Lytechinus pictus: one gene and its partners. The protein of the gene in region 2 interacts with the protein of the main gene of each other region in a pairwise test. Links are inferred from orthologs where the notes say so. Each region holds a gene or a part of one and is shown on either strand. Other genes may lie near its edges.

Region 1 (10,983 bases), on a different chromosome or scaffold from region 2:
TTTGTGTACCAATTTACAACAAAAACTGAGAGGGTCGGGTGCAACCACTGGGTGAATCCAGATGGAATGACCCTGGGGCCTATCCTGGACTATGCATGAAGCATGGCATAGGAATGAAATATCCATTGATAGTGGATAAGTCTGGAGGCTGAATAGCACTAGAAAAATGTAATTAACATTGAACCAGACACACCGACTTAATCATAGGTTATCATGTCCCTAGATTTATCACTCTAACTTACCCATCTCTTGAGCCTGTGTGTACATCCGTGTTGCAAGAAAAGAACTTTCCATGAAGGCCTGCATTGCACTTCCTACTGCCATGAAACCAACCAAGAAGATCCAAAATCTGAGCACCTTTGTGAAAGCATTGGCCATGGTGATATCTAATCCTCCAGTCCAGAGAAATGTAAGAGAAAAAAATATTTTCAATTCACTTAAGCTCAGGACCCATACTCACCTAGCAACAGTTGCCTTGCATTTAGTTTGTGTAATTACTACTAGGTCAGAGGTGTACATTACTAAAATGCTGAATGAACATCCCCCCTAAAATAATGAACGAGGCAATTGCTAGTTGTAGTTCAATGTGATCAACTAGGTCCATATACTTATGACATTTCAAAAACTTAACCTTGGTTAAGATTTCGATATTGATTCCCTCAACATGGTCTTAAGTTCGTTGACTCTAAATTAATCTTACCCTAAATGATCTTTGACCTTGGTCAAGTCACCTGAAACTCAGGCAGGATGATAAGTAGGCATAATACTTGATTGCCCTTATATCTACGTTTCATGAACTAGGATCATTTACTTTCTAAGTTATGATGGCTAATTAATAACTTACAAAAGTACATTTAGATAAAAGTTGACTTGATACACATTACTGGTTCCAGGGGTGGATCCATGATTTGCCAAAATGGGGGGGGGGGGGGGGGGGGAGGCACATTTGACAAGCAAAGAAAGCAAGAAAAAGTTTTTTTACCCAAAATTAAGGACATTTTGTCCACGAAAAAAATTGAGAAGAAAAAAAAGTCTTCACTTTCAAAAGGGGGGGGGGGCACACTTCTGTTTTACCGGCATTTTTACATTACAAATTTTAATTGCGCCTCTCAAAGGGGGGGGGGGGCACAAGCTGGATTTGGGAGTTTGCCCCCCCCCCCTAGATCCGCCAGTGACTGGTTCAGGACAGTACTGGGCAATTCCATGGAAAATGTTCACTTCAGTGAAAAAATAAAGTTTAAGATTTCACTTAAGGAGTCAAATTTTCTTAAAAAGTAATCTATAATGTTTGATTTTTCAATAGACAAATCGCAAAATTGATAAAATTTTGCATTTTTTCCATCACTTAAAAAGAATAGTGAATTGCAAAAAAATGAAAAAATGTGGCTATTTTTAAACATTTCATTCTTCCTGTCTCTACAAAAAGCAACTAAGGTCCCAGAGGTCTCGTTGAACTTTTAAATAGTTGATTAATGTTTACATCAAGAGAAAATAATTGTTAAATTTGTGCCATTCATTAATTTTAGAGAAATCGATCTTCAGATTTGTGTTATTTCTTTTACATTACCAGTGTCATTTCCGTTACGTTTTTCACTTAAAGTTTTCATAGCTAACAGGAAATTTGTCTGAAGTTACTGCAAAGTCAGATTCTATGTTAGAATCAAACGCCCTACCATGTAGCAATCATTTTCCCTTACCAATTCTCATTTTCATAAAAATTGTGTAACGGACATGACACTTTGCGTATTACATGACACCTTATATATAACACGAGGCAGCATTCACAAAAATGAAATATTGGGCTCAGTGTAACAGAATGATGGTCAGTCTCAATTGATTGAGGGTAGCTGGATGTCAGATACAAATACTATTAACTCATTAATTCATGAAATCTGCATATCATTCAAGCTAAAATTGAAGTTGGTGAATGAGGAAAGTTCAGCTCTTGTTCTGGTAGATTTTTCTGAGAATTACCGGTATGACACAGATTATCAGGATTAGATGCAGCTAGCTCTGGCAACATACTCAGATCTCAGTCTGCATCATTCGTGTTTGAACAAAAGATAATTGATTGTCTTAGGTGTTTGCAGGGAGATATAGAACATGATAAAATTGCAACTTGTGCATTCATGAGATCATTGATGGCGCTGGCTCACAATTAAAAAATTAACTGGTGAGAATAGGAAACAATTTAAAACAATCAAACAAATACACCACTTTGAATGTGAGCAGGAGAGTCAATACTAAAATAACCAGTGATGATGAGCCACAATCAACTTCATCCTCTCTTTGGCAGTAGAGGTGCACGGCCAATATTGGAGACTGTCTCCAATGCAGGAGATTATCTCCAATATCAGAGACTTTTGTAAAGAATTTGGGTATCCAATTTCAGAGACAGTCTCCAGTTTTGGAGACCAATATCCTTTGTTTACATTGGCTGCAAAAGGATTACCTTGGCGGCAAATAAAAATGTAATAAGGAGATTCCTCATGAAAAATTACCCCTTTTCACCGCCTACTTTAAAAATTCACTCTACTTTTGTTTTGATTTTATAAGGATTTTTGTTGTCAATCACACACAAAACAAATGGGCTTCTGACCTCAGTGAGACAAAATTTTGGGTGGAAAAAATCATGCTTTTGTTGGTGTTGTTTCTTTTGTCCTTCTGCAAAGCAAGTCTCCAATGTGGGAGATTGTCTCCCCTATTGGAGAGAGTCTCCCATATTGGCCGTGCGCCTCTAGAACTACTGTTCGGAAGTACAAGTTAACACTTCTGTGTGAATTGAATTTTCTACTAAGAAAATACAAAAATACTTTGTTGCCCATGTGACCACCTAACAAGAAGATGGGCATCTGGGTGTGTAGGTCTCGCTTAAGTTAAGTTAAGTTATGCGTCTTGTAGTTGTATTTGTATTTGTAACCTTGAAGGAATAATCCCTAACTTGGGCCTAAGCAGCTCTTCCAAGCGTCTATCGGAAGAGTGTCAAGGGATCGTGATGAAGAAGTATATGTCAAAATATTTAAAAATATCATCACGAGGCTCAATTAGGCTAAAAATGATGACCGGTCAAAGTCAAGACAAAACCACTCCTAGTACCAATGAGGTCCAACATTACATGTATGGACCTCATAGGCGACATCAGTAGTATTTTTGGTTAGAAATCTCTGAGAACAGGATATTTAGGCAATTATATCATAAGTACAAGCTCTATTCCTTTCTCTTATTTAAATTATAATTTTATAGTGTAAATGCATCGTTAGCAACAACAAAAAATGAAAGAAATGAAGGGGAACTTACATTTTCACGGCTTTTTCCTGATTTTCTGGGCAGCTGCTCTTCTCTTCTGACTCGCGATCGAAGCTGATATGAAGATCACGTGATTCGCGTTCTCGTCAGCTGATCGGTTGGTTATTCTTTTCGTCAGACGTTAATAATATATATTTTATAATGCTAGCATTCATCGCTAATTTAGGTGAAAGAGATTGAAGTTAAACAGCGCCAGGTCGGAATCATAATTATTTTGGAAGAGTGTATTTATACACTCGATCTCATACCTGACGTAGACGGCGCTATTCAACAAATGCACAATCTTCAATATAAAAAATAAAACAGAAAGAACGCCTTGAACACAGGCCAAAATGCCTAACGATTTATCCGCGGCATTAACAACTATCGTAAAGGGCGCTCCATTTATCAATAAAGATGGACGCTAAGCTGTCTATGGCGACAAAATTTGCCGCAAATATTTACGAAGAATTGTGAGAAATGGTCTGAAAATGCAACAAAAGAACCGGTGAGTACCGATTAAAGTTTAAACATTATTAAAGTTATAAATAGATTATACATACCTTGTAGATTTAGTTTTTAAGGTGATATTAGTGCTTAGTTCTAAGCTAGGGAGGCCCAAACGCGCGTGAGTGGAGTCCCAGTTTATTAGCACGGGTAAGTATTGGGGTGTCGCCTAGAGTGGACAAAACAGTGCCGACAAACATGACAAAGCTAGTTTTTGCTAACACAAAATTTCAAGTGCGGGACTAAGTGAGGAGAAACGGCCAAGAAGTTACTTTGAATTGAAATTAGGCCTACTTAACATAAGACATTTTGTTCTCAGAAAGTACCAGTAGACTAGGATGGCCTAATGAAAAGAGTCAGTTACCTACAATCTCTTTTGTTGAAAGAACGATCGAAGGGAGGTATACCGGAATCCTCTGCCCGCCTCGCCTGCAGCTGCAAAATTATTTTCCCACCGTCGCGTCCGCGCCGGTATATAATATGAATCTGCGGAATAAGACTGCGCATGCGCGTGGACACTAAATATTCACTGTACTATTATCCATGACACAGCCTAACCAAGGAGATATCTGATATCACTACTTCCTTCCCTGCTCTAACTTAGCGCCCCAGCCATCTCTATGACTATGGCCCCAGCCCACTCACCGGCCGGCCACTCACACAACATGCGAGATTGCTAAACCTAAAATCCAGACTTTCTTTCTGTGGTGACCAAGAATATGCTCCGGCATTTAGGTCAGTTCTCCGGTTTTCTTCCAGTCTCATGTCTCTCGGAATATTCTAAGAATAGAACGGCGATCCGACTACCGGTACTAGTACTACTACTAGATTCAGAGACCGTGTGTGATAGTTGATGTAGACAGACTTGGTGTCTTTGTAGTACTAGTATTACGATATTGCGAACTTATGTGTGTGCGGCAGCCGGCAGGCGCAGGTAAGCGTGCACTTTACTTAGTATGGACTATGCTATGGTAGTGCCACTACTATTACTATTAGTAGTGGATCGTATTACCGAACACTTTTCATGAATTCAATCATATCAAACACATTATTCTCATAAAATTCACCAAACTTTCACCATGAATACACAATTACCTACAAAATATAAATAGGCCTATGTAAAAAATTTGCCGAAATCGTTTTTCCTTTTTTACGATATTAGCTTCCAATCGGACCCCTCTTCGCATGTGAAATATTTTGGTTACTTAAAAAGGTATCGTATTACCGAACGTGTGTTTTCTATGGGAAAAGTTGAAAAAACAACAAAAAGCACTGATGTCAGTGATGAGCTATTTTGACCATATTTTGTTATTTTTAGAATATTAAGACATGAAAAATGCGTTTTTTACCATTTTTCATCATCTTTCTATTATTTCAAGTTCTCTTTGGAAGGATGTTACAAAATTTTGAGCGTTGAAATTATTTTCTGATGCGTATGATGCGCGCGTTCGGTAATACAAGACCGGTCGGTAATAATACAATCACTCACTAATATACTGTACTAACTTAGTTTTGTGAATTGGGAAGTGACGTCTGTGTCCTGTGAACTGAGCTGAAATTCCACTCAGTCAAAATTAACAAAATTTTGAGATAGGCTAGCTTCAAGTTTAAGGGTGTCTGGAGAAAAATATTATTTTTCTTATTTCAAGAAAATATCACATTTTCTTTGTGAATTTGAAGAGAAATGACCTTCAGACTGACAGAAATGTAACAATTTTAACATTTTTGAAAAAAAATCTGATTATTGGCTGCAAAAAAGAAGAATGAAATTAGGTCAATTTTCAGCATTTCTCTGCCATAGACTGTGTAGTTAAGAAATGGACACACACAAATCTAAATTTTTAGCTTCCGAGTCCGAGAGCTGTGTTAATTCACTGGCGTAAATCCCAGGGGGGGGGGGGGATATATCCCCCCCCCCCCACTTTTCGAGGAGGGGGGGATGGCCTGTACAAACATCCCCCCCACTTTTTACGAAAGAAATGAAAAAAAATCACAAGAGATAATTGTTTTATTGGTGAAAATTCTTCCTGAAATACCGCTTAACAAATAAAACAATATTATTGAATCATAAAATGCAAATAAAGAGCCAGTTCACCATTTCCAAATGAAATACTTGTGTCCTTATTATAACATTGAAGAGAAACCCCCGTTTCTTCCAATTCATCAATGTTAGGGTCTTTGGAAGGGATTAAGATGGAATGTCAAAAAAATATGAATGTAATCTCTAATAAAACCCATTTGTTTACTGCAACCACCCTGCCTGTGGGGAATCTGCAGGTTGGACTATGGCATGCCAATGCTGTACAGAGCACACACTTAAAAAAATGATTAAAATATCACTTTTGTGACCAAAATTACTAATTTCCATACAGTTGCAATTTATTTTTCATTAGTAACTTGGGAATAATTTTTGTATTCACTAGAGCGCTCAAAAACTTGAATTTGGGGCATATTTTTGTGTACGCCCTCTATTGGTGGAAAATAAAATGGCAAGAAAATTTTCATTTTTGTATCTCTGTTTTTAATTAAGAAAAAAATAATTTAAAGAATCAAATTTACTTAAGGGCCAAGTTGTATGACGAATAGGTGTAATGAAAACTGTCAGTGTAAAAAAAATCAAGCATTTGTCCCAAAGAAAAAGAGAAAATTTGCCAAACATTGCCATCCTTATTTTGCCACACATGGAGATATAACTGAGAACAAGGTTATATCATAACCTTGTTCATTGAATGAGTGATAAAACCATTAAACCATCATGGGGTAAAAAAGATAATAATATTGGAGGGGTATTTGCCATATGGACATACAGTGGCGTAACTATGGGGGGCACATCCCCCCCTCATCGGCTGACCAAAAAAAAAAGGGGGAAAAGGAGAAAAGAGGGAGAAAGGAAGAGAAACATAGTGAAAGAAGAAAAAATTATTCATTATAATATTATATTATATTATAATTATGTTATGTTACATTACATAAGAAACATTTTTATCATAACTTTATGATTTGCCCAGGGCCTACGTCTTCATTGTTCCTGGTGCTCGCACTGTCTGTTTAACGAGATACATAATCCTGTTGTACTAAAACATCCCGTTTTCAAGTCAATACAAACCAAATATATTTCCTAGCACTTGAGTTATCATTGTTTTATGTAGTGACATATATGCTTCTTTTTCATGTCTCAAAAAGTGATTGCCCCATGTTAAGGTCTTCGTATATATGAAACATTTCCTGTCCGTGATTACGTTCGCATTAGTGGATTGGTGAGATATGTCTGCTCTTCATGAATTCCCCAAATCAGTCCTTAAAATGTTCCTTCTTCTGATCTGAATATCAAAAATTTTCAGCTCGCGCTTCGCGCTCGCATCATTTGGTTAATGAAATACGTATGGTCCTAGTTATTTCCTACAAAGAAACCTTAGAATGCCCCACTTCAGGTCTGAATTATCTAAATTTTCAGCTCGCGCTTCGCGCTCGCATTGTTTAGCGAGACAGGTACCTATCATAATTACACAAATTTGATTATAATGTCCCTTTTTAGGTGTGAATATAAAAAAAATTTCCGCTCGCGCTTCGCGCTCGCATTATTTGATCGGTGAGATACATATCCGTTTAATGACATTGTCCTTAAAATGTCTCTATTAGGTCAGTATAACTGGCAACTGAGCGCGCTTCGCGCGCTCACTAGTGCACTCACTCAGTGATTAAAAAATTTTGCTGGTGCCCCCCATTGCCGTGACCCACGGTACGCCACTGTGGACATATCAATGACAATTCCTTGCATATCTAAAAACATGATTGCAAAAAAATGCCAAAATATTTCAGTCATCCCCCCCACCCATCAACAAAGATTTACACCAGTGTGTGTTATAAATTTATTATTAATGCCAAAAACTTGTCCATAAAGAGTCCAATAGGATTTTTTATGCTCTTTCTGATGGTATGATTTTTATAAAGATTTGGAAACCAGATCACAATGAAAAATTGCGACAAAGTGTAAAAAATTGTGCAAAACAGAAATTTCATTTCCCATAGAAAACGCATGGGGAAATGGCAATCTCAACACACACAAAAATAAGGGTTTGCAATTTATCTCTAAATCCTTATTTAAAATGATCATATAAACTTGTCCTTACTGTCAAAAGAAGCCCCTTAATTTTCTCTTTCCATACATGCCAAACACAAGTTAATAATCAATTCAGATCACATTATTCTAGTAGCCTGAACTTCCCGAAAAAAATGTGCCATATTTTCCCCTAAATCAGCCTCTCTTATGCTGACACTTTTCAGTGTGGCTTCAGACACCCTAATAATCTTTCCTAAGCACATGTCAATAATTAAGTAGGGTTATCAATATCATTAAATATCAGACCAAAACTTAACTTAGGCTTGCCTTAACTTAAGCTTCGGTCTCTGTTGTTATTATGTTGTTTGTTCCGCTGAACTCTAACGAGTAACGTGTATTGTAATTCTAGTCTGAACGGTAATCCTGGGTTTTAGGGGCGTAAAATATTTTTATATATTACCGGCCTCTAACTTCAGCCAAATCATCCCAGCTTAGTATCACAGCCGGTTCGACTTTAAGACATTCTCGTATCTGTCACCGTGTTAAATTGGCGAGATCAATAACATAATTTCTACAATCACTCAAACTTTTTATAAAATAAAAAAGACATGCACGGGAAAATAATATTGTGCTATACAAAATTATTACATTTAAAAATTACATCGTGTACTTTGAGGTCCATAATAATCCATTTTACAGAGACGATCTTGTCACTCGTACATCCCCGAAAAAGTTGCCATCTTGAAAATATCGAGTTTCGCGAGATTTGACTTCCGGGTTTTATTTTCTCTCTCATATCATCGCCATTCGATGAAACATCAAATTTCTTTCTTTGCCAACGTGATTTCGAGTTCGAAAAATTGTTTTGATGCTGGAAATACGAAATGGATAGATCTAAGCAAAATTGTGTTTTTTAAAGTGATTTTTGTTTGCATACAATTTTTGTTCGGCCTGTATTCATCTTTTATTTCTCAGGCGACGTTTTCTTGACGCCGATGTATTAACTATGGAAGGTTTTTTCTTCGGGCGATGGTAATTTTCCGACTTCACAAATGTGTCGCATATTGCCCTCAAAGCTAAAACGCGAGGCGATGTCAGACTAATTAATGAGTCATAATTTTTCTTGAGTTTGAGCGAGGATGATCTGGTATTAATAATGACCCTTTTGAAATTGTTTGATATTTTAACAATTTGTACCTCTAATGAATAACAAATGTGGCATTGAACTTGTGCAGTGATGAGGTGAATTGAAATGAATGGGTCGAGCGGATCAAGCTGTGTGTCACTCGCTAGTGCAAAAATTAAGAATCTCTCAGAAATAAATGTAGTATCCCAGTCTTACAGAAATCAATGCAGACTCTCTTACATGTAGAAATGAATTATTTTTATGATAACATAATTATATCCCTGGAAACTGTGATTGTATTTATTTCCAAGAATTGTTTTAATTCCGTGTAAAATTATGATTCTGCAGTTGTCTTTATTTCTGTGGTTGCTTTATTTCTTTAGTTATCTTTGCTTCTAGAGTTTTCTTATTTTTGAAATTGTTTTATTTGCGAGGTCATCTTTATCTGAACGATGACATTCATTTGTAAAATATACTGCTATTTCAATTACGTTATTTTTTTTCTAAATCCTTTATCTATGATTGACAAGATTTATTTTGGAGTTGTCTTTTATTTCTAATTATATCAATTTCTGGTTAAATACTTTTATTTCTGACTTTATGTACTAGTCGTCCAAAGTAATGTATCAATTTCTGAATGTTATATTTCTGAGATACTACATTTATTTCGGAGAGTTTCTTTATTTTTGAGATTCTTAATTTTGGCCCTTTTGGCTGCCCATAAGTGCAGTGGTCACGGCCGGTAGAACATGTAATCTACACATGGCGTGTGTGTGTGCATCAATACAATTACAAGTCATGTGCAATCATCGGGTGTGAAGCCAAAGGAGACACATGGGTATGTTAGCCGGTATGTTAGCCCCCTCTTCAAATATATATTTTTTGATAGCAAATGGGTTACATCAGGGATGGAAGGGGTATATCTCTTTTCAAATACTGCAGCCTTTGAACAAAAAAGCTTACAGTTCCACAGCTTGTAATACACAATACACACAACCACATTTCATATCTTTTGCTCTCTCACTCATAAGCCTGGATCTCCCCACTTTATACTTGCAGCAATTCAGCCACTCTCGTGATCACATGACACATGCACACACATCATATCCACATATCATTCAGCATTGCTGGAGTCATGAGATACATGTACAGTGCAACCTGCAAATTTATGAGTGTTGGGAGTAGCAGCCAAAAACATAATCTCATGAATAAATTAGCATGCTCCCCCCCCCCCCATTTCTCTGCCAAAAAGTTTCAAAGAATGTTTTTTTTTAGAGTTGCAATTAGCGCCAGAATAGACTACATACAATGCAAGTTTACCAAATGTTTTTCCAAACCACTCACTTGCTACGCTCACTTGCATAATGAGATATAGCCAACATATGCATGTTAATTTTTATTCTAATCAGCCTGATTCTAATAACAAAAAATCCCTTTCAAAACAGTTTTGCTCAACTTAAGTTATTACCACCAAACACATGCAGATACATTGTACTTCAGGCAGAAATGTAATTTCATGTTGAAAATATCGGTTTGAACCCAATACCCTTTTTGACATACTAGTGCCTTTTCTTTGCTTTGCCCCTACAAATGAAAGTATGTTCTGCTGCTCCTGTGTAAGTTGCTAATTACTCCATGTACAGTAAAGGTCATAAGTAAGGGGCCACTCTCAGATTTAAAAGAAAATCATACAAAACATACTGTACTTCATTCAAATGTATTGACACTGAATGGGCTACATGTATGACAGTTCTATCACATCACACAAGCATGCTTCCAAGCGGTTTTAATTGCACTTCTGCCAAACCCCAGTCAGTTTTCATGATGTATTCAAATTTCATGTGTACCTTTAAACTATAAAGGTTTGCATAAAAATTGGAAATGTTTAAAGCAAATGTTGTTTTTTGACACCTGATAGCTTGTCAGAGGCTCGTCTGACACAGCAACAAGTTTTTGGCCTGTACTGTAATGCATTTCTTGAGACTTATTTACTTTTAAATGTAAT
Region 2 (10,909 bases):
TCAATTTTTTTTTTATGAAGACATGTAGTTAAGTTAATCAAATATTTGGTACCAACCTTCCTCTGGAATGTTCCGTCTAATGCAGCTACAATGATGATTTTGCCTAGATTGGCCATTTCTTCACAAAACTTGACACAATCAGGAAACTAAAGAGATAATATAGACACATTCCAAATGTTAACACACAGTTGCGACAGGGGTGCAAATGAGTTCTGCTCAATTCAAGCAGTGTAACCACAGAGAGATCAATAAGAGAATGTATAACAGTTAAGATTATACTAAGAATCATGTCACTCAATTAATTTGAGACTATAAAGAGAACTTGCTAAACTTCCATGCAGTGCTGGATAGATATTCATTATTCACTCACCAGCCATGATTATCATATCAGAGATTCAGAGAAGCATATTTATCATTACAATCATTTCAAAATATTTAATTTGATCTCAAATATTACAATCAAAAAGTGCTTACAGACCTGTATAAAAGATAATGGCTGCATGAAAAGCTGAAAAAATATCAGTTTAATACAAAGTAAACTTAGTATTAACCCCATTCATTAAAAAAAAAAGACAGAATTTGAAAGACAAAAAATGTAACACAATAATAATTTGAACTTGTATCATACAAATCCACTCTAGAGTCTGTTCTCAAGGCGATTTTCAAGAAATTCTAAAGGAAATACTAATAAGAAGAATTGAACAGATAGATTGTACTTACAAATTGACCTTCATCGATTCCTATGACCTCATACTCCTCAGCAAGCTCTGTGACTGAAGATAGATTGCTAGCAGAAGTAGCTTTACATACTTGCCTAGTTTGCAGATAAGAAAGATTTAGAGAAATGTTAATAATATTCAAAACTTCTGAAGGCACTTGTGCAATAACAAAGCAATTAATGATTGTGTTGTTTTTTTACTGAATAATAAAAAAAGGTATTGAGCAGTCCAAACTGAAGGTAAAGAAAGAAGTTTACATCACAATAAATACAATAATTTACTTAAAAATTATGAATAAAAGGACCCAGACAGTTTAATGTGTAGGCCTTGTGTACGTCCTGCAAATAATTAAATTGAAGTATTTTGAAATGGAGGGAAAATATTTAAGGAAATGGGTATTAATTTACTATACGGTACATAAGTGTTTAGAACCACTCACCTATCATGAGTTGCTACACCATCCTTGTCATATCTTGTGTCTTTGTCGTATTTGATGAGAAGACAGTAGTGATTTGCAATCTGATAACGCTTTATCCTCCTGATCAGTTCAGTTCTGAAATATAGTAGGGGAAATAGATTCTCTGAATTAAAAATTCAAATATAGTAGTTATAAAGGGTAATCCAATCAAAATAAAAAGTTGTCTTCAGAGAAAAAAGAAAATCAGATAAGTAGATATGTGGAGGTGAAAGTTTGAACAATATCGGTAATAAAATAAGTTATGACTTTTTTAAAGTTGTAAGTTGAAATCACTTTAGCGATGAAGACTTAAATTTAGTTGCATTGATGATGTCAACAATGTAATGTAGGGACTATACTTCAATTTGCTCCAATTCGCAAAATGGCTAAAATGTAATTTTTTATTTTTACTTCAATTTCAAATTTCTTTTCATGTCATGAGAAGAGAACATCTATGTTAATGTTTGTAAAGGCAGTAGTACATAGTAGCCTATGGAAAAATGGTCTTGTTTGACATAATTTAGTTATAGCTGCCAATTTGAAATTTGCATTGTCCTAGTGGTCTCATTTCTTAAACAGCCATAGCTCTCTTATTGGTTACATGCAGTCACTGTTTCCTTCTAACTTTCACCATTCTGGTTTTTATTTTCTCTCTTTTTCTCTTCTCATCACACTCCATTTCATGGCCAAAGTTAGATTCCCTTCAACATACATGACTTATCCCCCCCCCCCTTGTGCATGTGAAGGGGGGGGGGGTCCTCAAGGGATTTTACGTTAAGAAATACATAATTAATTTCTGTTGAACTGTCATAGAAACTCGAAAAAGCAGCTGACTGCTGCATCAACACCAAGCTGGTATGTAAGCAATTACAAAGACAAGTAAGTTAACCCAGTCATACATGTAGTGGCTGACCTTATAGACAATAGAAATTACTCTCTGGCCTTATTGGTTAAAATAAAGGCCAAGCTGGCATTCAAACCACCTTTCAATCATAAATCCAAAGCTCTAACCACTAGACCACACAACTCCTAATTCATTAAGAACATTAAAAAAAACACAAACTAAACAAAACAAAATTCTTTCAAAAGGGCCACAGCCACCACACACACATTAGCCTACCTTATTTTCATTGTAAAACATGAAAGGCATATTTCAAGATGACATGGACAATTGATATGATAATCTTAATTTTAAAATACAAGTCAGTACTTACGTTTTACCAGAGAACATGGGCCCAAAGATGACCTGATAGGTTAAAAGAAAAACAAAAGATATAGTAATACATGTACATGTATTGGAGAGTGAACTGTAAGGAAAGTCTACTCCAACAGAATTTGCTTTAACCATGAAGTGGAAAACTAAACAAGCATACCACTTTATAATTTCATATTTTCATCAAAATTGGATATCAAATACTACAGCACATTTTCAAATTTTGCTTATTTTTTTCACAAAACAGTGTAAAAAAGTTTGGGACCAAGGCTGAAAGGGTCTATGAATAATAATGCAACATGAAACTTAAATTATGTCACAAAATCTAAAATATACTACCGGTATGCAGAGCATGACACTGGCACCAGGCCGACGATCCCAGACCAGCTAAAATTGCTGACGGGCCACTAACTTTTCAGAAATAGCCATACTAGTCCGATATGACCAGGAAAATAATATATCAAACTGAGACAAATGATATTTTCTTTTTTGTAAATTATGATAATGGCTCTGGAGTCTCAAAAATATGTCTCTCATGAATTATGTTGTGTGTTTGAGTGTGTACCTTGCCCTAGACCCCTAGTTATTATTTTTTATTCATTTTTTTTTGGGGGGGTAGGGGGTAACAATAAGCAATAAAATACAGCCAAATAAACTCATTTTTAAATGTTTTTCTTTATTTTCTTCATTTTGGGGACCAGTAAATTTTAGGTTTGGACCAGAAAAAAAAAAACTGGGTATCGACTGGTCCGACATGAACAGTTTGGACCAGTAGAATAAAAGGGTTAGTGTGGAGCCCTGCAGTATGTATTTTTATATGAAAATGAAAGTTTTAAAATTTCTATTTGTGCAGATTTTAATATGACATTTGAAGAAAAGTCCTCATTAGATCACAATAATAGAAGTTATCATGATTGTATGATCTTGTCCTCATTCCTCATACAGAGTAGTAGATCTATGTGAGCAGATCAAGTCCTAGATCTGTGTATTGAAATAGGGTTGGCAAAAACATGTTTGGACATTTTCTCGTTGTTACTTACTTTTTCTAGAGGATTAGAATGCTTGATTTTCTGCCAAAGCCAGTTTCTATTATGTTATATTTCTACAATTAATAAATATGCCTTGGGCTAAAACTTATTTGAAATTTTTACATTATATATTGTATCATTTTTTCCTAGCATAGTGCAGGACTAATAGGTTTCGTGGTACACCATCTTTCACGGGCAATTGTTTGTCCTGACAACCCAAACTCAACGTTTCAAGAAGTGTGTTCTCGTAGTCTTCAGGTAAGGAAAATGAGCAAAGTTTGTATACCGGTAAAAAAATGGTATGGTAGGGGGTCCTAAAGCTACGCACCACTCATCGCGCATACAGTTTTTATGGCAAATGTGCACTCTGTGTGTGGAACTGTGACTGCAGAGTGACGAACGATTCCTATTCAATTTTTTCTACAGAGGCTGCAGTAAATCTCTAAATGCAGAGAAACCAACAACTGTTTGGAATTTTGGAGTTATATTCGCTTAAATTTCATTTTATCCTATAATAATATGAATATATTTTAGAAATTGAGGCACAGGAAATACTATTTTTTTGCATGATAAATCGAGTGCGTGGTTTTAGGACCCCTTCTACATCGGGTGGCAAAATCAAGAGGTTTTCGGAGAACACGGCGGGATTTTCGTATTAGTGAGTTTTGCGATATTTTCTTCCTGGTTAATGATCTTTAGAATGTTTGCCACAAATTAGTGAAAGATATTTGTTGAAATATTAAAATTGGGATAGTTTTTATTGTTTGAAAACAAAGTGCGTAGCTTTAGCCCAGTTTAGGTCCCCCCCACTCACACGTATTGCGAGGTTAGTATTAGTATACTAACCTCGCACCACGACCCGCGTTTGGCAGTGGATTTCTAACTAGTGGGTCGCGCGTGCTGGGATCTCACTTCTTGGGTCCACAACACACGACTTCAATGGCTTGATTTTTCTGTGCGCGGCGGCATGTAATGAACCCTTGGGTGGGTCCCCCCATCATACAGCGGACTCAATGGCCATGTTTATGTACTAGTAATAGTATAGACCAAAAGCTTAGGTCTCTGTGTTATGTTGGTTGTTCAGCTGAACTCCGTTGGCTTCACTCACCAAATACAGAGACCGAAGTTCTAGCGCGATCTAGTACAGGGGACTCAATGACAATGGCCATATGTTTAGCCTATGTGTACTAAGTTTGGATAAAACGGGGAGGTTAAGTTGCGCGACAGCCGAGGTCAGTCACTGTTTTTGTTCCTTTTAACTTGATTTTCCCTGTTTTTTGGCAATTAATGCCATTTCGGTCGCGTTAATTTTCAAAAGTTTGAATTTGATTCATGTCTTACTCAGTAATTTAACTGTTAGGCCTATATATAGAGTAGAGACATTGATTTAACTTAAGACAAGTCAAGACAAAAATTGAAGAGCCCCGATGGGGGGATTTTGCATTGTAATAAGTCCCCTAATGGTGGCTGCACGATAGCGAGAGCCGTCTGTGTACGAGGAGAAATTAAAAAAAAAATAAAAATAAAAAAAAACTCCTCAAAAGTCCAAAACAGACGGCTGCCAGCTGTCTAGGCGCTGACTGCCTGAGCTCGAGCTCTGAGTCTGATGATGCAAACGGAGCTGTCGGGCCGGCTGCTGCACTTCCCTGCAGCCTCTCGAATCTCGTTCGCTTTGAACTCACCTGAATTTGTCCTTTATTTCTGTGCCCATGTCTCATTCCATCGATTGCATCTACACACGACATCATGATTATTGGATATACAGGCCCAGATGAGGTAAAGATGAAAGAATGACAAAAAATATTCCGACTAATTTTCTACGACTACGGTCGGAGTACGGGACTGGATCTGGATCGGATGTTGGAAGAATTAGAAGGCGGCTGGAAAATGAGCAGCGCGCGTCGCGTCGTTGTTCAAATTTGGCGCCAGGCCAGATCTAGGATCGAGGGGGTGGGGGCAATTATTTGACTAGACGCTCCTAGTCTTTGCCAAAGACATTTCAGATTTTTGCCCAAAGAAATATTACTCAAAATAGTCCGATTTAATGTTTCCACTCCCCGCTTTACACTTCAAAATATATTTTACATATCCCGGCCTGACATTTACTGTAAGACCAATCAAAACAGATCGCAGTGTCAGCTATATACTAAAACAATAACAATTATGAATACATTATTTTATTATACATGTAAGTGCAAGTGACACAGTCGATGGTTAAACCACAAATACACATGGGCGGAAATCCCAGGAGGGACAGGGGGGACGTGTCTCCCCTACTCAAAATAGTAGAGGGAACACAATATCAAATGTCCCCCCTACTATTTGTGTTTTATGATGGTAGGAAATACATCATTCAAAATCGAAATAAACCGTGTATTATACAAGATCACCTTACTTTTTTTTTTTTTTTTTTTTTTTGGTCAAATTTATTTTCGTCGAAATGACCTTAAATTGGGGGTGATAACCTTTCTTTTTTTTTTTTTTTTTTGCTTGTCAAATTTTTCAGCCTATTGTCCCCCTACCTTTTGGGAGAGATTTCCGCCCCTGCAAATAGGCCCTACATAGTCAATATAAAAAATCTGACAACTTTTTAATCCCTTTTTACCATTCAATTTTTACGAAAGAAGTCATAGTTACATGCAGTACGTATAGACCACTCCGTCATCTGCCTCCTAGCTGAAATGGGCCGAATAAAAAAAAATGTAGGCCTATCCCCCTTACTGTGCAAACCCTTCACACGAGTTAAGGGTCTGAATGTACAGCCTATATAATGCCTTGTGTACTGTTTACTTGCATACTATAGTAGGCCTATATATCTAACATATTTTCAGTAAAAGCCCTGGTTTTAATTTTTTTAGACACACCTACTCGACTTTAAATCCTTGTACCCTAACCCCCCCCCCAAAAAAAAAAAAAAAAGAGGAAGAGGAAAGAAAAGAAGAAGGAAAAAATGAATATTTGAATTTTACTTTATATATTTTTTTTTCCTTAAAGAAAACAAACGTGAATAATATTATAATATTTATGATGGCGAAAATAGTCAATTAAATTGACTGGTTGCCAAATAAAAAGAAGAACCCCCCCCCCCCTTAGGCTATAAAGCCTAGGCCTTGAAGGACAAGTCCACCCCAACAGAAAGTTGATTTTAATAATAGGAGAATCCAACAAGCAAAATACTGAAAATTTCATCAGAATCGGATGTATAAAATAAGAAACTGACATTTTAAAATTAATTTCGTTTAATTTCACAAATCATTTATCTGCCCATCCTGGTCTGTATGCAAATTAGGGGAGTGATGACATCACTCACTATTTCTTTTAAATTTTATTATCTGAAATATGAAAATTCAATTTTTTTTAATTCATTGTCCTGTACGTGAAACAATATTTTATTCCTCCCTGAACATGTACAATTACCATGCACTTTATGGTTCAGTCGAGTTAGTTATTATTGCAAAATCTGTAAAAATTTAAATATTGTACAATTCAAATAATAAGAAACAAAAGAAAAAGTGAGTGCGGGACATCGACTCTCTCATTTGCATGTCTCTAGATTGTGCATATAACTTGTGGCTGCCTCTATACAAGAGGAGTTTCCAATAATATACGACGAATGACAGGACGAGTTTCATATACGATTTACAAAAACTCTTTAATAATAGATGATTGTCGATTTTGATCAGAAGAATTATTTTGTAGATTAAGCGTTGCAGATAACATTCTGAAAATTATAGAACAGATATACAAGAATCATAAATACACAGACATATTATCTTCTCGTTTACACATTAGATTCATATTTACATAATTTAGTTAATCATCATCATTCACATTAAAACAACATCGATTCATCATTATTCTCATAATAAATATTTGGTAATAACAGAGTGCAATTAATAATCCAATAAAAGTAATCGAACTTACCAAATATGGCTTTCTGTTTCTTTCTGTATACTTGACACAGCCTTTAATTTTCCTTTTGACGTTAATACTGAAACCATGACAAATATTAATAACACGCGCGCAACTATTATGATTATTATTATTATTATGCGCAAATATACATGGCAACCATGACGCAGCAATCAAGATTAAAATGACACTGATTACGTAACAATTAATGCGCGCATTGCGTCGCAGCAACATGGCTCCTTTAACTGATTATCCAAAACAGTTACTTATATATATATATATACTTATAAACTTCAATTAGAAATATCTATAGCGCTTGCATAAAAATAACAATACTATAAACCACTTTTAAAAATATCAATAAACAATAAAGTATTCATGCTTTAGTATTATGCTTGCATGCTCTCATCACAGTTTGATAAGTGAATAATTCTAATAGTTCGAAGTTTCAAACGTTCGAAAGCACATTCAGGTCAAAACTATACGATAAAATCATAAAATGATAAATAAAAGAATGCATAATACAATATTTTGAACGATATCTCAAAATATAGCAAGCCTTTTTTTCTTTTCAAATGCATTTCCTTGATCCAATTTGATTCTTGAAACATCAAGAATATAATATATTAAATTTGTATATGTATCATGCCAAATAATGCACGTTGCAATATAAGCAATGTTTCGCTTATTTGGTTGAACAAACCAAAATGAAATATCACATATTCAAAAAGCACAGAAACAATTTTCCAAGCTATCAATAACTTTGCATATCAATCTGCTAATTGCCTATTGATATAAAAATAAACGATAATAATATAACAGTATAATTGTTCTTGTGTTTGGCTCCTTGCGGGGGAATCCCTAAATGTCTTTCGCGTAGATTATACTAGCCCATGTAAAAAGCAGTCTCTTTCTGTTATAGTGTCAGTATCACATTAAGAACAAATCTAGTCATCTGCTAGGATCAAAACGAGCTTATGTATGGGTCTTTCCAAAATCTAGGCTCATGCTTACGTTTACCGTCTTTTCGAAGATCGCGATCAGCCATGATCAGTTTCACTTTACGAACTCGGCCGTCATCACATTTGTAGGCTTCTGTCACTCTTCCTAGTGGCCACTGACTTCGAGTATCGCTGCAGTCTTTTACAATGACAATGTCGCCTATCGCGAGGTCACGCTTTGGATGGACCCACTTCTGTCTTGTTTGGATGTCTTGGAGATATTCACGCTTCCATCTACTCCAGAATTCGTTCGCTAGATACTGCACACGACGCCACCACTTCCGAGCATACACGTCTTCTCGCTGAAACTTGCCTGGGGGAGGCATCACAACTTTTGCCTTCATGGTTAGAAGATGGTTCGGAGTCAACGGTTCAGGGGCATCTCCTGCACATAGATTAGCTGTAGACAGTGGTCTGGAATTGACAACTGACTCCACTTCAGTAAGGAACGTCTGGAAGGATTCATCATCTAGTTGTGACCCTGAATTCATGAGGAGGGGTTCAAGGACTCTGCGTACTGTACCAATCTGGCGCTCCCAAACTCCTCCCATGTGAGATGCACTCGGCGTGTTCATCTGGAAGGGTATCCAATCAACTCCATTCTCTAGTAGATACGTCTGGATAGATTCCTGGTCCAACTCTCTCATTGCTTCCCGCAACTCGTTTCTAGCGCCAACGAAAGCAGTCCCTCTATCAGATCTGATCTGTCTGACTGGTCCACGACGAGTGAGGAACCGCCGGAGGCAGTTGATGAAGCTACTGCTTGTGAGACTATTTGCTGCTTCTAGATGAATGGCTCTTGATGCCATACAAGTGAAAAGTACTCCATATCTTTTCACAATACTTCTTTTTTCTTTGATGTTGAAAGGTCCAAAGTAGTCCACAGCACAGTATGTGAATGGGGGTGCCGGTTCTAGGCGATCTTTTGGCAGATCTGCCATCTTCTGTTGCTGCAATGGTCCTCTCATTTTTCTGCACAAGACACACTTTGATATGATACTGGAAACTGCAGAAGAACCACCAATCACCCAGTATCCATTTTGTCTCAGTTGATTATGTGTGATTCCTCTTCCCATGTGGTGAACCTGCTCATGCTTGTGTCTTATGAGCAATGTCGTCATATGAGAATTTCTCGGCATGATGACGGGATGCTTGATTTCGTCAGGTACGGCAGCTTTGTCGATTCTTCCACCAACTCGCATGATACCATCACTGCCAATGTATGGATCTAGACGATATAGAGAACTGATTGGCTTGATTTCACTGTTTCTCTTTCTTGCTGTCTGTCTGTCATTTTGCTCACCAGAGCCTAAGTTGCGAAGTACCATCAATTCGTCACGAAAATGTTCTATCTGCAAGTTTCGGATTATTTCAGTTTCTGCTGCATCGACTTCTGCAACTGTCAAGATAACACGTTGGAGTGGACGGTTCAATTTAGGGCTTGTCTTCCTCTTCACTTCTCTCTTTCGTAGTTTACTTTTGAACATCATACATAGTGCTACCACTCTCTTGGCACGTTGCCAGCTTGAGATATGCTGGAGGCGACTAATCTCGAAGTGGTTGGCTCTAGCAGTCATTGTAGACAAGGTCGACACATGTCTAACTTCTGGGTCATCTTTCTCACAGCTGGCTTTATACTGCTCTGTAGGAATCTTGAATTCTCCTTTCTCATGAAGAAACTTCGGTCCAACCAGCCAGCGGCTACTTTCAACGAGCTCCTTTGCTGTCATCCCTCGAGACGCCTCATCAGCAGGGTTGTCTTCTGTGTTCACATAGAACCATCTTTTGGGGTTTGTTTCGTCATGTATCTGTTGCACCCTATTTGCCACGAAGACATGGAATCTCCTTGCTTCGTTACGAATGTAACCCAAGACTACTTGACTATCTGTCCAGAAGAATTCTTGAGGTTTAGCCACTGTCAATTCTTTCCTTAGAAATGTACTCATCTTTGCTGATACAGTGGCAGCCGTCAGTTCGAGTCTGGGAATAGTCATCTGTCTGAGTGGGGTTACTCTTGATTTGGCTGTCACGAGAGAGCAACACACTTTGTCCTCTTCATTCACCAGGCGAATATAAGAGCACTGTCCGTAACCATCAAAACTTGCATCTGAAAAGTGATGTAACTCCGTACGCTTTACTTTGCCGAAGTTTGGAGGCTTGTAGCATCTTGGGACGTTTAGTTTCTCGAGTTCACTTATTTCAGATCTCCATTTCTCCCACTGTGGTCGGACGTCATCGGGTAAGGGGCTGTCCCAATCAAGTTTCCTTCTGCAGAGGTCCTGGAGAATCTGTTTTCCTCTCAGAGTCACTGGACTTGCAAGGCCGATAGGGTCATAAATTGAGCCAACAGTGGATAGAACTCCCCGTCTAGTAAGAGGGCGATCTTTAAGCTCAATTCGGAACTGCAATGTATCACTTTCCACGCACCAGAATACACCTAATGCTCTCTCTATTGGTAGTGGATCAACTTCTAGGTCCAAGTCAGCAATACCCTTACCTCTGTCTTCGATAGGAAAACTCTGCAGAACCTCCTTATTGTTAGACATTATCTTGTGTAATCTCAGTCCAGCTTTACTGCA
Region 3 (11,264 bases), on a different chromosome or scaffold from region 2:
CATCAGATCAACACCGGAGATAGCCCTCCAATCCGTGAGAGGCCTCGAAGATTCCCTCCTAAGGAACAGGAAGAAATTGATCGGCAGATCAAGGACATGCTGGCGAATGGCAGGATAGAGCCATCCTCCAGTCCATGGGCTTCCAATGTTGTTCTTGTAAAGAAGAAGGACGGTTCAAAGAGGTTCTGTGTAGACTATCGCAAGTTAAACAACTTGACGATCAAGGATGGATACCCGATTCCCCGCATTGATGATTCGCTGGATGCACTTGGAGGTGCAAAATGGTTTTCGACTCTTGACCTGGCCTCTGGGTATTGGCAGGTGGAGTTGGATGAAGAAGCGAAGAAGAAATCAGCTTTTGTTGTGAGGGGAGGACTCTACAGTTGGAAGGTGATGCCTTTTGGCTTGTGTAATGCCCCCTCGACATTTGAAAGGTTGATGGAACGGGTCCTTGGAGGTCTACATTGGGAAGTGCTCTTGGTGTATCTAGATGATGTGATTGTTTTTGCAAAGACAATCGAGGAAGAATTGACTCGACTTGACATGGTCTTCCAGAGATTACGGCAGGCAGGTCTGAAACTGAAACCGAAGAAATGCCATTTGTTTCGGGAGAGTGTCTTGTACTTGGGGCATGTAGTGTCTGGTGAAGGCATTTCAACAGATCCAGAGAAGATTAGAGTGGTGAGGGAGTGGCCAGTCCCTAGAAGTGTCAAGGACGTACAGAGTTTCCTTGGACTTGCCTCTTACTATCGCAGATTTATAGCTGGATTCGCTAATATTGCCCGTCCATTACATAACCTAACCAAGAAAGGTCAGACATTCTCCTGGACGGCAGAGTGCGAAGCTGCCTTCCAAGAACTCAAGCAGCGATTGCAGGAGTCACCCATTTTGGCGTACCCTGACCCAAAAGAGGAGTACATATTGGATACAGATGCTAGCAATGAGGGGATTGGAGCTGTCCTGTCTCAAGTGGTGGACGGGAAGGAACGTGTCATATCCTATGCTAGCAGGGCGCTGCATAAGGCAGAAAAGAACTATTGCGTGACTCGGAAAGAGTTACTGGCTGTGGTAGTATTTCTGAAGCAGTTCCGACAGTACTTATACGGGCAGAGGTTTACGGTCAGAACGGATCATGGGGCACTTCGTTGGCTCTTGAACTTCCGAGATCCGCAAGGTCAGATGGCTCGTTGGCTGCAAGTGATAGCAGAGTACGACCTCAAAATCGTACATCGTGCAGGGAAATCACATGCCAACGCTGATAGCCTTTCAAGACGACCTTGTCCTCAGTGCAAGCGGGACTTTGAGGACCGAGAAGATTCAGAGGCAGAGATAACGGGAGATAACTTTGCAGAGGCCAAGGCAGTAACAGTGACACCGGGCATTAGCAATGAACAGATGAGGGAATACCAACAGCAAGATCCTTCGCTGAGGTGGATCATGGAAGCAAAGCAGGAGTCTTTAGACCGTCCTGATTGGTCAACGGTGGCTTCCAAGTCTAGTGTGGAAAAGTCCTATTGGAGGATGTGGGCACAGCTAGACATGAAGCAGGAAATACTCCACAGGAAGTGGGAGTGTGACCAAGGTCGGAATGTGACCTGGCATGTGGTGCTTCCAACTGTACTTCGGACAGATATTGTGAAGGAATTGCATGGTGGCAAATCAAGTGGGCACCTTGGCCAGAACAAGACAAGAGAAAAGGTCAGGATGAGGTTCTATTGGGTGGGAATGGATGCAGACATCCGGTCGATGGTACGGCAATGTAATGTCTGTGCCTCCAAGAAGTCTCCAGTGAAGAGACGGAGAGCCCCCTTGCAACAGGATTCTGTTGGGATGCCAATGGAAAGGGTTGCGCTCGATATTGTTGGTCCCCTCCCAGAGACGGAAAGAGGAAACAAGTACATCCTGGTGGTGGGTGACTACTTTACCAAGTGGATGGAAGCCTACCCAATACCGGATCAGACAGCTGAGACAGTTGCCAACAAATTTGTCAATGAGTTCGTCTGCCGGTTTGGTGTCCCTACAGTCCTACATTCAGACCAGGGCCGAAATTTCGAGTCATGTGTCTTCCGGGAAATGTGCCATATCCTTGGCATTCGCAAAACCCGCACTACCCCCTACAATCCGAAATCCGATGGCCTCATTGAGAAGTTCAATGGCACTTTGTTGAACATGATTTCAATGATGATCGAACCACATAAGCGGCAACGAGATTGGGATCAGAAGCTGGCAGTGGCAGTATTTGCCTACCGCAGTGCCCCCCAGGACTCCACAAAAGAGACGCCAAACATGCTCATGTTAGGGCGGGAGATCCATCTTCCTATTGATCTCACAACGGAGGTATTGAGGAGTGGGGAGGAAGAGGAGACTGATGTGGAGACGGATTACGCATTTGTTTTGAGGAAACGAATGCAAGAAGCGCACCAAAGAGCCCGAGACAACTTTGCAGAGAGTGCCCGCCGGCAAAAGAAGACCTATGATGCGAAAGCGGAGGGAAGCCCTTTGGTGGTTGGGAAGTTTGCCTGGCTCCATAACAAAGCGAAGACTAAAGGCTTGTCCCCAAAGCTACAGAGAAAGTGGGAAGGTCCATATTTAATCATTCAACAATTGTCGGATGTTACTTGCCGGATTCAGGAGAAGAAGAATGGCAAGAAGAAGGTAGTACATGTGGACAGGTTGAAGCCCTACGAGGGAGTGCCGCTTCAGTCCTGGTTAGAGGCTCATGAAAATGAGCAGAGAGTTCTCGATCAGAGTGAGGGACTCCAGGTGGGAGAGGAGGGACTCCAGGTAGGAGAGGAGGGAATAGACCCAATTGTGAGGGAAGGTTCAGGAGTTGAGGAGCCTCCCGTACCAGCTCCGCGAAAGGCTCCTGTTCCGGCAATAAGAAAGAATCCCCCAAGAGCTAGAAATCCGCCAGCTAGATATGTGATTTAATGTGTAGCATGTAACCTGTGACAGATGTGATATATTCTGACATTTTGAGACAGAATTCAATCAATTTTGTTTTGTTTGTGTTCTTTTGATTACAGTGGTTCAAGATGAGGCACCGGGTGGCGTCTGACTTTGAATGCTTCGACTGTGGAGCGAGGTTCTCACATAAAAGGAGTCTGCACCGACACATCGACGAGAGACATCGACGTCAAAGGCTGTATACTTGTGACATTTGTGAGAAGGGGTATTCCCGCAGAGATAACCTTAGGGCCCACATGGTGAGTCATGAGAGACGTTCAAAAGTGAGGTCGGAAGTCCACTTGAGCGACAAAGGAGGGAAAGAACGTGAACGTGAACGTGAAAAAGGTCGGGAAACTCGAGAACATGAGGAGAAGACAACAACTCGGATCTGCAGTGAGGTACAAGAGCCAACCATTGCTGAAGCAGAGATTCAAGTCGACGTCTCTCCTGGCACTATGGAAGCGGTAAATTCTTGGAAAATGGGCCCAGGACTCAGTGGGAAACCACTTAGCCTCCTGCGTCAACAGGTGCAAGATGAGCAGTCTGAGGAGTCTGAGGAGTCTGAGTCCGATCTTGAAGATGAACAGGAGGGGGGCATGGACTTGCCTGAGAAAGTGAAGTTGGGAAAGCCTATCGGTGACTTGAAACCGACCAGGATTTTAGCAGGGAACTTAGTCCGAGTAGCCGAACATAGTTCAGCATACGTGTTTTCCGGAGGATCGAAATCTATTTACGAGGAAAAGGCACGGACCTACCACATGGTGGTGGTAAAAGCTGTCGAGTCGGTCCCTGAAGCTTCATACACCAAGATTAATCATGTACGTGAGGGGCATGTGGGTCCGGCTATGTCCGTAGAGGATTTGGAGCGTGGACTTATCGGAAACCTAAAAACTATCACCGAAAAAACCACGCGCCGAGTGTTCCGAAATGGAGAATTAGTATCGGAGGACGAAGTCATAAAGGAGTTTACGGTGGATATGATGGTGGGAACAACCAAGGCCGAAACAGATTGATCAGCTAAAGATCTCATCATCCAGAACACTTTTAAGAACTTTTGTTATATATAAAAAACAGTATCTCTTCCGTGAGAAACATTCCGTCTTGTTGTTTTGTATTCCGATTTATTGCCTTGATGTATGTTATAACCTATGTCTTCCTTGCCTTTCTTCTTATCTTTCCTATATCCTCCTCATCTTGACATTTTTCTGCTCTCTCTACAACTCTCTCCGCTTTTTCTATATATTTCTGTACATATATCATTTTGTTCTTGTTTTGTGAGAACAGTGCTTGATTAAAGTTATATTTTGATGTCATCGATCATGCAGTTGAAAAAAAAAAGATCAGTATCTACTTTTTATACAAAACATTTAATACCTCATGTTTGGACATGAAACTCAAAATGTTATTTGGTTTTCTTTAGGAAGTCTTAGAGATGTCTTCAAACTCATAAGTGTGTTAAGAAGAGTGCTTTCTTTTTATGCTATACCTGTATATACCTGTATATTCTTAACGATATTTTTTTTGTACTTATTGTTTCTGCCAAAGATGTTTCACTCTTGAAGGGTGAGTTGAGTTTTGAAAGGATTTATTTTTAGTCTTTTTAGTTTTATACCTGGTCCGAGGACAGCCCAGACTTGGGGAGGGGCTGTGTAGCATAATGAGTTATACGTTTAAGATGTATTTCATAGTTGATCGTAGAGGGCGATATTTTTATGTTGTGATACTTGGTATGGAAAAGTACGTCAGTTCGCTCGGAGCTGTGATGACGTGCAGTTGTAAATAGTAGCTCCCGATATTAAACTAAGACTTACACCGTACACTAGATCTTTCCACTGTGCTTTCTTTATAAGGTGAGTGTTATAGTGCTTGATTCGATGTATTTCAGAGAGGTCTGAGAGGAAGAGAGTGTACCACGTTATACAATAGACTTTTGTGAGAGAATCTGCCCCCCAAAACAATTGAATGAGTGAAGAACAGCGTGGACCGGGTTCTAGAGACTGCGAGACGGCAGAACGCTACCCCAACAGAGCTCGGTTACGCCACAGTAATATCATGATAGGCTAATTTTTTTGATCTTTTTGAAGCTTATTTGATATTTTAAAAATTAAATTAGTAAATATATATTTACTACCTGCTGCCATTTCATGTTTAAAATGTAATAATGACTCAATTTTGTAGGCCTATATGATAATGAATTAATTCCTTTACCCTTTCCTAGACAAGATTTTAAACTTGTAGGATGTGCAAATAATCATAACTAAATCTAAGTTAAATCTAGATCACTACGCACAAATTTTGCCTAACTCTAATCCCCTAACAACAGCTTTCTGTGCCTTCTGTGCGGTAATTCTACCCATGTTGTTAGGAGCTGATTTGTTAATGGATAATACTATACAGATTGTGATGTCAAGCATTGATCCCAGATGTAAATAATGCATTATAGCCATCGCGGCGAGATTACCGGTTGTAACAGGGTGGGGTGGCATCACCCATGGGTGTGGGGGAGGGCTATATTTAGATCTATCAATTATTTTACAGTGTGATAATAGCTGGGATGAGTTGGGTGAAGCTTATAAAGCAACCACTTTGGTGTTTGCAAATTATTTAGTCCCCTAAAACCCAGGATTACAGAGAGGAGAAGGGGGACGGGGAGGAGTAGGAGAAAAGAAAATCATCGAGTTCAGGTGGATGAGTGGTTTTGAAGAAGGGGAGGATCGAAGTAGAAATTCTGCTTAATCTTTACATTTTTGCCCAGTGGCACTAAGTTCTCATCACTTGCTGTCTATCTGCAATCACCCAGTCTGGTTATACAACACCCCTCCCCCCAAAAAAAGAGATAAATTGTTACTAACAAATACTTGATTCCGTTTGATTTATGATCTGTTTTTCATTGTAAGAATTGTTGAGCTTATATTTTGTGAGGGTTTATTTCCAATGCGTCTAATGCCATTTCGTCCAATTGCCAACTCGTCTACTATCACTTGGTCTACCATCAGTACGTCCATTCACCACCTGGTCTACTTTCATTTAGTCTAATGCCATTCCGTCTAATTACCAGTTGGTCCAATAATCATTTAGTCCATATACCATTTGGTCTAATTAAACTAAAGAACAAATTGTGCAAAATGAATGAAAAGAAAATGGGTATTAGACCAACTGGTTATTAGACGAAATGGTAATAGACGAACTGGTGATTAGACGAAGTGATAATTGGACCAAATGGTTGTTAGACGAAATGTTGATGGATGGAATGGCATTAGACTAAATGAAGGTAGACCATGTGTTGAGTGGACGAGTTGGCAGAGGACGAATTGGCAATTTATCTTTTGTGAGGCCCTCTAATATTGGTGGAATGTAAAAAATGTAGCCCACAAACTTTCTTTTTTAAATAGAAAAAATAGGTGAAACTTTAATTTAGTTTTGCCCCCAGAAGGCAATCTGTCACATTTTTGGTTATTCTTAACCCCCCCCCCCCTCCTCCCTCCGACCACATCTGCATTGGATGAGTGAGTCAAATATGATCATGTCTATATATTGTCTATCTCTAGGCTTTACTGGTGTGACTAGAAAGCTAAACTGAGAGGCTCACGATGGCAGAGATTGCTGAGGCATTCATGTTGAAGGTGACGGCTGGATTAGATGAGCAACTTGTCGAGCTTGACAAGAAAATTACAAGGTTTAATACTGGTAAATGCCTTCCTTTATCACGTACTCCATCTATGTATTCCAGGGGCCCGTTGCAGAAAGAGTTGCAATCAAACGCAACTCTAAAAATCATGCGCAACTTGATTTTCATCCAATCAACAGTGCGTATTTTGGACTTGCGATTGATATTTTTACTTGCGTTTAAACGCAACTCTTTCTGCAACGGACCCCTGAACCCCTACTAGGGTATTTCAAAGTAATAAATGTTGACCAATAAAGCAATAAAAAGTTTAAAAACTCAAAAAGCTCTCTACGGTAATGGAGTAGTGGATGTCCCCCCTCACAGCCCCCACTTGGTCGCGCCGCCCACTGAACCCCTTGCAGTTTTACTCATTTACTTTCCCTCCTTTACTTTAAACCTCGCTCACAGGACTAGATATTGATACCATTTACATTTTGTCTTGAAATATACATGTATACCAATTTGCATAACTTGATTAGAGCAATATTTATTTATTAGAGCAATATAATTTGTAAAATATTGACTACTTTTTTATTTAGGCAATAGCAAAAACCATTACTCTTCAATGATTTTGAGATATAGGCCTACTATCTCTTGACCTTCTTTCTCAGGGTAAAATAGTACACATATATTCTCAAGATCTATTTGGCGCAATAGTTTTACTATTGCCCCAATGAGCAGTCAATAGGTCTATCTGTATATTCTGTATAAATTCCAGAAAAGCTCAAATAATGTTAATGACATTTTTTTTATATGACTCTCTTGAAATATATCTTTTTGTACACAGATGTCACACCCCAGAATGAGAAGCTCCTGAATGATATCGGGACCATTCACCACCGATGTGAAGAGCTCCATGACGAACTACAGGGTCTACTCAATAAGCAAGGGTGAGTGGTCATTGTATTAAGACCCTGTCACATCGTTCTCTGCAAGCCCAACTCACCCATAACAAAGCATGTTCACAAATTTTGTGTGTCCAAATCAGACTTGCGGGCAACTGCATGGGGCTACTTTTCACAACTTACTGTCTAAATCTGCAACATTGGATATTAAACCTATTTCGGGCCAACTGGGCTATTTCGGACCAACATATACTGGGGGGGGGGGGGGGGGTCAATTTGACCCCCCCCTCAGATCTTGTTGATTGCGCGATCGCCGTGAAAATTTGCACGCACATAGAGCCGGATGTAAACTCCAAGACTGTATACAAGAAATTGCCAAAAAATAATTAATTTCCTATGTATTTTATTGTTTTTTTAATTCTTATGCATTTCTTTGTTTTTTTCAACATTTGTTTTTATTGTTTTTTTTTGATGAATTTTGTTGGGGACCCTTTTGGGATTCTGAATAACATAAAGTAAATCCATCTAAAACAACAAAAGTAAAAATATTTATACATTTATAAATTTTGGTTGAAAAACGCAATTTGTATTGACTTTGTATACGGAATCATGTTTTTGAGCAATTTTGGGACTGACATGCGCCCACAAAATATTACGTAATTTCAAGCCCCAAGCCCCGTGATTTTTTCCCCTTATTGGAAATTATATGAAACAAGATAATTAAAGTGTTGTTCGGTCAACCATGGCCCCGTCTTACATAGAGTTACAATTGATCCAATCAATCGTAATTCTATGGAAATCCATCAGTGTCATAATTTTGTCTACAGGAAATTTGCACGATGTCCTTCGTAAACAAAGAGAAGCACAGTGAATTTTCATGAAAACAATGAATGCTTGAATATGCATCATAGTGAGAAAATATTTTGAACAAACATGCATGATAGATGTTGACATTGCTGGCCATTCATAGTTGTGATTGATCGGATCAATCGCAATTCTTTGTAAGACAGGGCCCATATCAAGCTTATGCTCATGCTTCATGTACCCCTTTATATCGGCTTGTTTCTACAGAGAACAGGAGAAAGCTGCGAAGGAGAGACAAGATGAATATGACAAGAACCACCTCTTCAAGTCGCCCATCTCACCAAACAACCCTAAGACGATCCATGAACTCTATGAAGAGATGGACCTCCTCGACATCGATTCTGATGAAGACGATGACCACGACAGTGGCAACGAGATGGGCGATGGCGACAATGATGATGTGCATTCTGAAGATGAGATCATCTTCATTGGAAAAACTGACCTACCTCCGACGAGCCAGAAACGATCAGCTAACGAGGCACGGTTGACGCCACCCAACCCTTCAAATCGACCAGTCGGTAATGAAAATGCTGTTCAACTTTCCTCCTGGAATGAACACATTAATTATAGATCTGAAATTTATTTTAACTCCCATTATTCTCATGCAGGTGTATTGTATACTTACTTGGTATGTTGCTCTCTGATAATTGAAGGTTGCAATCATTCTTTTGAAGCTTTTAATAAATGGCTTTCTGCATTTCTCATAGGACCCATGGAAAAGGAGACTGTAGGAAAGACAGCAACACCGCCACGTACTTCACCACAGAAAGCCCCACCCGTCTCCAAACTCACCACAGTACCACCTCAATCGTCATCATCATCAATACCAAGTACTCGGGAGTCCCCGAAGGCAGCTAGTGTGTCCCCTGCCACCTTAGCATCGACAGCATCCTCCACGACAGCACCTGTCATGACCCAGACGGTAACGGTTGAAAGTGCAGGAAGCACTCCTGGGAGAACCACTGTTGCCAAGGTTCAACAAGACGGGAACACAAGCACTATAGTCATACCGGCCTCCATGCTTCCTCGGCCGAAGAACTTGCCAAACGCGCAACAGCCCAACGCGCCGTTGCGTTTCCTCATGCTGACCACCGCCAAGAATGCAGCGGGTCAGGAGGTAAAGAGCGTAAAGACTTTGCTCTTGCAGAATCCTCAAGGAGTACCCCTCAATGGCCAAGTCGTCTTGAAGATCCAGGATGGACAGCAGAATCAGCTGGTGCAGCCATCATCGCAAGTCCTTCAGGTTTTACCACATGGGAAGGCTCAAGGTACCCCTTCTGCTCCTGCAGGAAAACGTCCTCCAGGATCTGCAGAACCTTCCAAGACTTCTTCCGAGGTTGTGGAGATCGTTGACGATGACGATGACATCGTGATGGTGAGTAGCACTCCAGCAACCTCTGCTGCCAAGAAGAATACTCCCGTCAAAGCTATGGCGAGAGCACCGTCGGCCATTCCTGGACAAGATGGAAGTCCTGGAAAGGTTCGTCAAGGAGTTCAACTGATCCATGGGGCTGACTATGATGCTCATCTGATGGAAGGAGAAGAAATGATGTTTGGAGATGATGAAGCAACGTAAGTATTGATTGAAACTTATGGTGCCCATTTAATAAAGAGTTACAACCATGTTAACTTTGCCATCATGGCACAACCGTGGAAACCTTGATTGTGGTAAGCTGCTGCTGTTGAGCCCTGTTATCATAGCTGCCATAATGGCAAAGTTACAACAGTTCTAAGTCCTTTATGAAACCGGCCCCTCCGCATACTGCAATGCCATGTTTTCATATCAATATCCTTGCAGGGCCCCAGGTATAACAACAGTGATGGGGTTACTTTGTTGAAATTGAATTGAATAAATAAATAATGCATAAATATATGTTTACAGTGAAACCTATAGAAAGACCACGTATGGGGGGGGGGGGAGCTGTGTAGTTGAGCAGATGGTCTTTATGCACAGGTTCGTTTTATACATGTTTCAGTGGGGAAAAATACTCAAAAGAAAAACATAGATTGTGGTCTATTTAGACGGGTGGTCACTCTTTACAGGTGGTCATTATAGCAGGTTTGACTTTGTACAGTACACAGTACTGCTCAACCTGTCTATAATGACCACCCAAGAGAGACACAAGATACACTGTATGACCTCGATAGACAGGTGACTGCTACATGACATGTATATTCCGGGTAATATAATGTAACCTGTCTCTTTGTGAATCGGTTTTAGTGGTCACTGTAGGCAAGTGGCTGCTATATAGAAATGGGAATGTCCACAAGGCCAAGTGTTATTGGTATGATCATCTACCCTGCTGTAGTTTTCATTTTGAAATTTAACCTATATGCCTTGATATTTTGCCTATTTGTATTTCCTGTTTAATGTCATTACGTATTTTGTTTTATATTCTGGGATGCATACTTCATACATGGATGGGTTTTTCTAAACCTTGTTTGGCAACCCTAGACGTGTAAATATATTTGTCTGAATAAATTCAAATCAAAATCAAATCAAATAAAAAACCAAGTATATGCAACATGTTTTCTGCTAAACGTAATCGTCAGTATAAGTATTTTTATTTCTATTTCCTTTATACTTCATATTTCCTTTCTCTTAACCGCTTAGAGGCAATTTGCGGTATATAAAAGTATTATTATATGTGGAGCGTTGTGGCCCAGTGGATTAGTCTTCTGACTTTGTTACAGAGGGTCGCGGGTTCGAATCCCAGCCATGGCGTAATTTCCTTCAGCAAGAAATTTATCCACACTGTGCTGCACTCAACCCAGGTGAGGTGAATGGGTACCAGGTAGAAAGAAATTCCTTGAATGCTTTGAGCACCTAGGCAGCCTAGCTAAAGCGGGGGTAATAATAATAGCAGGGCCCGCCGGGAGAACAGTTTTCAGAACTGAAGTGGCTTCCCTGGGTATATATACCTATGTTATTATTACCG

What was found.
Region 1: the proteins of thymidine kinase, cytosolic-like (region 2) and ergosterol biosynthetic protein 28 homolog interact in a two-hybrid assay, tested with the Homo sapiens proteins (2 studies listed by BioGRID and IntAct). The link is inferred for Lytechinus pictus from reciprocal best matches to the Homo sapiens genes TK1 and ERG28.
Region 3: the proteins of thymidine kinase, cytosolic-like (region 2) and histone-lysine N-methyltransferase SETDB1-A-like interact in a two-hybrid assay, tested with the Homo sapiens proteins (2 studies listed by BioGRID and IntAct). The link is inferred for Lytechinus pictus from reciprocal best matches to the Homo sapiens genes TK1 and SETDB1.

The regions. Positions count from the first base shown.
Region 1 is NC_087251.1:6,120,238-6,131,220, forward strand, and holds the start of ergosterol biosynthetic protein 28 homolog, read right to left. Parts: upstream 4,763-10,983; 5' UTR 4,460-4,762; coding exon 4,438-4,459; exon of another isoform or gene 4,296-4,437; intron 4,294-4,295; exon of another isoform or gene 3,849-4,293; intron 393-3,848; exon of another isoform or gene 387-392; coding exon 243-386; intron 1-242.
Region 2 is NC_087254.1:30,595,924-30,606,832, reverse strand, and holds the start of thymidine kinase, cytosolic-like, read right to left. Parts: upstream 5,307-10,909; 5' UTR 5,166-5,306; coding exon 5,100-5,165; intron 2,423-5,099; coding exon 2,391-2,422; intron 1,273-2,390; coding exon 1,159-1,272; intron 815-1,158; coding exon 721-814; intron 147-720; coding exon 57-146; intron 1-56. Other genes in the region: uncharacterized protein LOC135155821, read right to left, coding at 8,294-10,876. UniProt on the Homo sapiens protein: Cell-cycle-regulated enzyme of importance in nucleotide metabolism. Catalyzes the first enzymatic step in the salvage pathway converting thymidine into thymidine monophosphate.
Region 3 is NC_087253.1:10,916,936-10,928,199, reverse strand, and holds the start of histone-lysine N-methyltransferase SETDB1-A-like, read left to right. Parts: upstream 1-6,494; 5' UTR 6,495-6,539; coding exon 6,540-6,636; intron 6,637-7,403; coding exon 7,404-7,506; intron 7,507-8,532; coding exon 8,533-8,843; intron 8,844-9,032; coding exon 9,033-9,897; intron 9,898-11,264. Other genes in the region: histone-lysine N-methyltransferase PRDM16-like, read left to right, coding at 3,036-3,962. UniProt on the Homo sapiens protein: Histone methyltransferase that specifically trimethylates 'Lys-9' of histone H3. H3 'Lys-9' trimethylation represents a specific tag for epigenetic transcriptional repression by recruiting HP1 (CBX1, CBX3 and/or CBX5) proteins to methylated histones.